2 linked regions of the Rhinolophus ferrumequinum genome follow. The protein of the gene in region 2 purifies or fractionates together with the protein of the main gene of each other region. This does not show direct contact. Links are inferred from orthologs where the notes say so. Each region holds a gene or a part of one and is shown on either strand. Other genes may lie near its edges.

Evidence for each region. The genes of interacting proteins can lie anywhere in the genome.
Region 1: the proteins of EPS15 (region 2) and AP2B1 purify together in Homo sapiens (affinity purification with mass spectrometry; 3 studies listed by BioGRID and IntAct, with this or other methods). This does not show direct contact. The link is inferred for Rhinolophus ferrumequinum from reciprocal best matches to the Homo sapiens genes EPS15 and AP2B1.

The regions. Positions count from the first base shown.
Region 1 is NC_046304.1:23,151,395-23,155,143, reverse strand, and holds the start of AP2B1 (AP-2 complex subunit beta), read right to left. Parts: upstream 2,265-3,749; 5' UTR 2,056-2,264; intron 2,002-2,055; exon of another isoform or gene 1,852-2,001; intron 1,000-1,851; exon of another isoform or gene 909-999; intron 1-908. UniProt on the Homo sapiens protein: Component of the adaptor protein complex 2 (AP-2). Adaptor protein complexes function in protein transport via transport vesicles in different membrane traffic pathways.
Region 2 is NC_046292.1:36,802,043-36,805,791, reverse strand, and holds the start of EPS15 (epidermal growth factor receptor substrate 15), read left to right. Parts: upstream 1-1,387; 5' UTR 1,388-1,482; coding exon 1,483-1,515; intron 1,516-3,749. UniProt on the Homo sapiens protein: Involved in cell growth regulation. May be involved in the regulation of mitogenic signals and control of cell proliferation. Involved in the internalization of ligand-inducible receptors of the receptor tyrosine kinase (RTK) type, in particular EGFR.

The sequences.
Region 1 (3,749 bases), on a different chromosome or scaffold from region 2:
TGTTAAATAACAAAGCTGCCAGTCAAAGCACACAATCACTCTTACTAGCCCCCAGTGTGATGTCACTGCACTTCAGAGAAGGTCTCCTAGTACAGGATTATACATCTAGATTTAACATAACCTAGTTTCTACTAAAGATAGATTGTGAAAGTCCCTTGTCTCTTTCTATTTCTTCCTCCTTCCAGTCCCCCTAAAGAGAATAAGGCCAGAAAAACATTAATAGCATCTTAATTTCAAATGGCTCTCTGGGAAATGACAGCTAAATTAGAGTTGGTGAGGCCACTAAATCCTTTCTTTTCACTTAAAGTTGAGCTTTAGACAGTCTGGTATTTACATGGAAAAACTGGCCAAAGAGTTAACCAAATTATAGAGCAGAAAGGTCACTCCAGCCATCTTTTATTACAAGGGTGAGAGGTGCTAGTCAGATATTTCAGTGATAATGCAGTAACAATAGTATTTTAAGGTATCATTTAGCTCCTAAGAAATTACAAAAGACACCTAATTACAACAGACACACCTGTGATTTCCATTTAAATATAAAACTACAAAGTAATGTATTAATATTATACAGTAAGAGCTCAAAAATTTTACATCCAATTTTTAACTGAAATACCAACAAACTCTGGAAAACTTAAACCTAGGAGGAAAAAAGGAGAACATGTCCTATCTTATTCATTCCTTGTTCAGCTTGCCTCAAACCCGTGCCTAAAATGTAATATTTTAAAATATGAATCTGTTTAAGGAAAAAAATAAGTGGAAGAACTGAACTTTCTTGAGTCTTCATTCACAGAATGTTAGCTTTATATTAATTTTACCACCCAATTTTCAGTGAGGCTGTTTGCAGAACACACTATCCTTTTGCTTCCTTAATTGTTTAAACTGTTAAGATACCTGCAAACGGTTCTCACCTTACCACTATGCTTAGTCATCATTGGAACGTGTTACATGCCGTCTTGTCCAGCTGCATCTCGTTCATCTGCTGCTTTCTATTATTACTTTGTAAGTGTACCCTGAGGCTAACCAAGAGAAGTACACCAGGAAGGTTATTAATAATTTAAATTGTTCCTCACTGAGACCACCTTCTTTGTCATGCTGCCTTTTCTAAACTGACTGCGTTTTCTCTACTTTCTTTTAAAAAAAATTTACACCGATTATCACAGTTTGGTATTTTAAAAACACTTCCTTTCAAAAGTCAAAGTTTAATGAAGCAGCCACATTTTATTCAGTGCTTCATAATCAAACGTGCAAGTGAGTTCAGTAAAAGCCTGTCCCCCAAATAGAAGACTGTTTTGAAAACAAACAGCATAAATACATTCCTTGGATTCAAAGAATTTGGAAATAACAGGAAGTTCCAGTTTCTTTGCCTCTGGCTTAATCTACAAGCTTTTCTCAAACCAGATCATTCGTGCTAAATCCTAAATCCAGAAAGAAAAAATTCCGGATTAAGATTTATCCCCACTTGCTTCTCCCTCTTTCACACTGGGTCAGCTCTTGAAGCTTTTCTTCCCTTCCCCTGTCAGGAATTCCTGTTCTTTTCTCAGGTGCTCAAGATTCTTGGGATTTGCTCCTCCATTACGAGGTGGGAGAGAGGTCTCTTTACCTCAAATTACAGGAGACGGGCGAGGTTTGCCCATGAATGGACAAACCTTTGGGGGAATCCCTTTTCCCTTTTGCTAGCTGGACACGTCCCAGTGTCTCAATGAAAGACGCCAAGCAGCGAGGGTAGGTCCTCTCCTCGGCCTCCAGCCTCTACCGGCCACACCCCTGACCTCCGGCCTTCCTAACCCCCGACTTCGAACATATCCATCCTTTCGGTCCGCTCCCCCAATGCCCAGATCCCAGCTGCCGTACCCGAGGATTCCCGCACCCCGCCACAGCGGTGGAGTGCCTTTCTCCAACCCTCTTCCTCACAACGGTCACACCCGACGGCTCACTCCTTACTCAACGGTCACCTTCCTAGGATGTTCTCTCCTCTGCCGGTCTGCAACCCATCCTAGAGATCCCCCCGCCCCATCAAGGAGGGACACACCCCAAAGTTGGCCAGCTTGAACTCACCGGAGGCAAGGGCGGGGGTGGCGGCAGCAGCCAGAGAGCACTGCCCGAGTGGTGTTGTAATGGTTTCCTGCACGTCACGACTCCTTTTCCAGGTCTCAGCCACTGCGCAAAACTTACTTTGCCAGGGACAAAGATGGTGGACAGGAAACTCTGACGTTAGAGAACCTCGCCGCGCGACGTCATCCCCGCGCGCGGGAGAGAACCCAAAGTCGGTGCTCTCTGCAGTCTGGGGCACAGATTCCGCTTGGTCTGGAAGAGACCTGACACCCGCGTCTCAGATGGTTGTCTAGCCCAAGGGATATATTAAACAAGCTGACATGCTCTGAATTTATTTCCTCGCACAGTTCTCTAAAATCCTTACGCATAGAGAGGGTGAAATATCCTGTTCCTTTCTTAAAGAAGAAACAACTGAGCTAATTTCCCAGGCCAGTTCAGGAGTGTGGACAATGGTGATCCACCCCAAGACTATACACGGGCAGTGGGACTAGAGGAAAGTGGTGCAAGGAAAAAGGCTGAGATGGTATCAGATCTGAGTTCAAATCTCTGCCCTGAATGAGGCTGGGAAAGTTACTTAACATCTCCTTAACCTTTACGTATCTGTGAAAGGAAGTCTCAAAGGCTGTATCTCTCTTGGATTTGTGAAGCTTAACGGGGATAAAATACGTAAAACATGTAATAGGTGTGCTTACGCAAAACTTCCTTTTGTTAACCACAACCTAGAAATCTTGGTACCTTCCCCTCAATTTTGCTGTGAACCTAACAACTACTCAAAAATCAAGTCTTTTTTTTTTTTTTTTAATGTGGAGAGTGAGAGAGCCTGGGGCAAAAGCTGAAAAAAGCAAAATTTCAAAGGGACTGAGAGGAGTAGTCAGAGACGTAGAAGGAAAAGCAAGCAGTTATGTTTCAGGATGCTTTTAGAGTTCCATGAAAGTAGGAACTATAGCAATGTTCACTCTTCTATCTCTGAGGCCTAGCCTCCCTCCTCAAAATTTGTTGAATGGATAAATGTGTAAGTGACTAGTCAGTATCAGTTGCCATAGAGATAAGGAAGGGCTGAAAAGTGTCCAAGGATTTAGCAACACAAAGGTCTTTGATGTCATTGCTGAGAACATCAGTAGAGAAATGAAGGCAAAAGCCACACTGCAGAAGTTTGAGGATGAATGAGAGGTGTGGAAATGAAGTCAGGAGTAACAAATAACTTCATAAGAAAGTATGGCTGAAAAGAGAAGAGATATAGAATGGTATCTGAGGGAGAGACTAGCAAGATATATTTTTTAAGTTCTATACTCACACATTTTCTTTAGACTATCCCTTTAGCAATACCATGGGCTCAATTATCTTTCATACACATGACTCTAACATCTCTATCTCTCGCCTTGACCTGTTCCCCAAACTTCACCACCAAATTGCTAACCACACTGATGGGTAATTCTATAATTATGGCCCACCCAAATTAAGCAAATCATAAGGGAATGTGGGGCTGATTGAAAACCTGGTTCTAGGTACAACTCCCAGCAGACAGAGGTGGATTTTGTCAAGAAGATGCCACCAGAAAAATCTTAACTTTGATTCACATCTAGTCCCTATTCAAAAACTGACAACAGCTCCTCATTGCCTGATATCCCCAAAACCTATTCTTCCCCCAGTTTTCCCCATCTTTCTGACTTTTTCTTTAGTTTTCTCATCTACAAAAT
Region 2 (3,749 bases):
TGGCGACTGCTGTGATAATGGTTACAGAGGTGTGGGTTTGATAGAGTTGCGGTTTATTGTTGTGGGAACCCACCATGACTGAGAAAGGGAGACCAATTCTGGGTAAAAAACATTTATTGAGGCTTCCTTGGTGCCAGACTACACTGTGAGGGGAATATAGTAGTCAGTCGGCATCCTGTCCTCAAGGATTTCACAGTCTGGTGGGGTACAGAAAAGCACGCAACTACCTTTTAGAAACAAGGCATACCAAGTATAATAAGGAACATATCAGAGCAACTAAGACATGGGGTGGGATTTCCTAGAAGGCTTCTTTAAGTAGGGAGCGTATAAGCCAAACCTTTAAAGCGGAGGCCTTCAAGTAACTGGTTGGTTTTTCTAATTGAAGATGGCAGCATGAGAAAGTGTAGGATGTTTTATGTTTAATATAGGCAGGAACCATGGGCTTTATTAAGTACATACTATTTGCTAGGGTCTGAGGATCTAGAAGTACATCAGAAACAGTACTTGTCCTCAAGGAACTCTCAGTCTAGAGGGGTAGACAGATGTAAACAGTCACCAGGGTGATGATGACTTCATAAGGTAGAGAAAAAAGGTTAAAAAGAAAAGCAGGTGTAAGTCTGACTTGGGGAGGCTAGCAGATGCTTTGCAAAGGAGTTGATACTTGAGTTGTGTCATGAGAAAGTAGGAGGAGTTTGCCAGGTGGACTATGGGAGGTTTTAGGAGGGCTGTAGGCAACTGAATAAGTCCCAGTGCTCTTTCATTGAACAGTCTAAGGATGGCAGGCAGCAAGCATGCAAGAAAAGTATTCCTTCCCCCTCTCTTCTAGGTTTTGACTCCTGGAGGGAATGACTTAAGTTTTCTTTTTCAATATCACACCCTAATAGCAGATGGTTAAATGAAAGGTTTTGGAGTCGGACCTGAATCCTATTCTAGCTATATAATCAGGTGTATGACCTTTGGTATGACACTAGTGTTTCAGTTTCCTCATTTATACGAGTACAACTTATGTCTCAATTCCTTCATTAATACAATTCAAAAATAAAGCACCTAGCACAGATTCTGGCATATATAAAGTACTGTTACTATTTTCTATCATTATCTTACTTAGTCCTCACAAGCAGCCTGGACTTTGGGTATAATTTCCCCCTTTTTTCAGAAGCAGAAACTTAGAGTAGGTAGGTGACCCGCCTAAAATTCACAGCCCGTCCGCCTTAATTTCGTATCCGCGCCGGGTTTTTCCAGGCCACTCCGGATTCAAGCTCCGGCCGGGCAGCTTAAAATCCAGCGCCAGGATTTGGGTACCACCGCGGCCTGCGCGGGGCGGGCGGGGCAGGCGAGAGGAGGGAAGTTGTCGAAGTTAGGGGAGACGCCCGCCAGCCCGCCCGCCCGGGCCTCGCCTCCGGCCGCTCCCTCCGCCTCCTCCCCGCCCCGAGCCCCCGTCCGCCCGTCCTTCCTTCCCCTCCCGTGCATGATGGAAACACCATGGCTGCGGCGGCCCAGCTCTCCCTGACACAGGTAACACCACCCGCCCATCCGCCGGGCTCGATCGGTCGGTTTCCCCGGCCGGCCCCCTCCCCCACCGCCCTGTGGTTCACCGACCCGGGCAGTTTCTCTCGGCCCCGGGAGAGGTGGCCGATAGTGAGAGCGAGAGCGTGTGCGCCGGAGGGAGGGCGCCATCCCCAGTCCGGTGCTCCGCCGCGGCAGCCGCGACCCCACCCGGGGTGGGTCGGCGCCCCTGGCCCCACTCCACGCGGCGCCCCAGCTAAGTGCACCGTGCCCCCTCCCCGCCTTAGTCGGTGCTGGGTCCCTCTCCCCCCACTCAGCTTTCCCCCACCCAGGAAGTTTCCTCCTTCCAGGCCAGACCGTCCCAGGTGAGCTCCTGTTGAGCTCGCGCGGATCGCCCAGGGCAGCCCTCGGCCCGCTCGAGGCTCACCCTGTGGGTTAGGCAGCGCGCTTCCCCCAGTTAGAGTCACCTTCCCAAGTCGGACGCTCAAGGCATCTGGGCTCGCTAAACCGGCCTTTTCCCCCTGGATTCCAACGAAAGCCCTCCCTTCCCCAACAGTTTTCTCCAGTCAGTCTCTGTTCCAAATGTCTTATCCGACCCGCGTGCTTACCCTGCTAGCCCCTTCCTGAGTTCAGCCTCTTCCCCTCTTGATCAGGTTTCGTACTGGGTCAGACCCCCGGTTAGTCCTTTCCTCCTCACGTCTGTTACCATTCCTATCTCCTGTCCAAGCGGGTAGCAGGGAAACATCCTTTAACAGGTGTGGTGGTTCCACCAGTCTTGGTGCTGGGAACGGCCATAGAGAACACCTGTCCTGGGGGAATTTTCACCAATACCGGTTCTCAGGGTCTTTCCTCTTGCTTTTCTGCTTCCTTCAGAGCCCCAGTCCTTGTGCTTCCCAGAAAACTTCTCAACATCACTGACTCTGGCAGCCTCATTCTTCCCTCTCTGTAAAGAAAGTCAGTTGTAATCTTGCCATGATGTCCAGGATAATGAGGTGACATGCACCTGTCAGTACCTTCCCACTCCTTTGACCAAAACTTATCCCGGTCTCACCTTATCAGCATGTTGTCTCCAGAGCTGGTGGCCAGGTCGGTTCCCCTTGGCACCCACCCCAACCTTCCTGCCTGCCTTTTAGTATCTCCCTGCCACCTTGTAGTCTCCTTGGCCTGGATTTTTCGTGCTTCATAGGCGTTAACACTGGGATAGGGTATACGTTTGGGCTGGAGAGTTTTCATTGCTGGGATCAAGAGGTTTTGGGATGTTTTGCTTACCCCACTGTAAGATAGACTGAGTGAAAAGTTGTTCTCCCCTGGAACCAGGAATCTCACATAAACGTACCTGGAGTAAAATAACCCCAGTTTGCAAGAATTACTACTCATAAGTGAATGTTTGTTTCCTAGTTTGTTTGGTGTTGCTTATCCTATTTTGACAAGCAGATAATGGGGAAGAATCCTTGGAATGTGGTGACTTAGTTTTGGTGGTGAATCTCTTTGGAGGGATCCTCCTGACACTCAAATTTGAAGAATGGCAAGATTGACTTTTGGGTGTTCACTCTTTTATGAGTCTAGTTAGTCACTTGCATTAAACAAGATCCTGTTGGCAGGCTGGTGTTCTCTGGCTCAGTTGGTCAATTCGGGTAGGAGTTTTTCCCCTCTTGAAGATTTTGTTCCCTCGAAGGCCTTTGTAGGTTTACTTCTTAGCTGTATGCCTGCCTACTTTATTCTCTCCCTGGGGAATACAATGCTTTTAGTTTCTATTTACTAGCATTCATCTCTGAAGGTTTTCTTCAGGCTCTGTCAGTTTTATAGACATATAGACAGTTAAATAATTGAAATATGTCCTTATGGTTACATATTTAAATATTAACATGTATACAGAGTACATACTGAAGCAGGAGTATTATACTTCATTGTCTCAAATGCTAGGACATACATTGGTGGTTCATTTATATTGACAATTCAAATAAGTCAATTTAGAATATTTTGATTTTAAGACATTAAAAGGAAGTAAGATATATTGTAAAGGCACGGGAAAAAGAACTTTTCCCAAGTGTTAATATACCCTAATATGTGCCTCCTTGTTATTTTAAAACTGCTGATTTGTGTTTTTTTAATTTAATTTTTTAAGTGCTGGAGGTACTAAACTGGGATAACAATGCAACCTAGTTTCACATTCAGTATAGATATGTTTATGTCAACCCCTCCCCCCAAAATATCTCTGTCTTCTCTCTCTCTCTCTCTCTCTC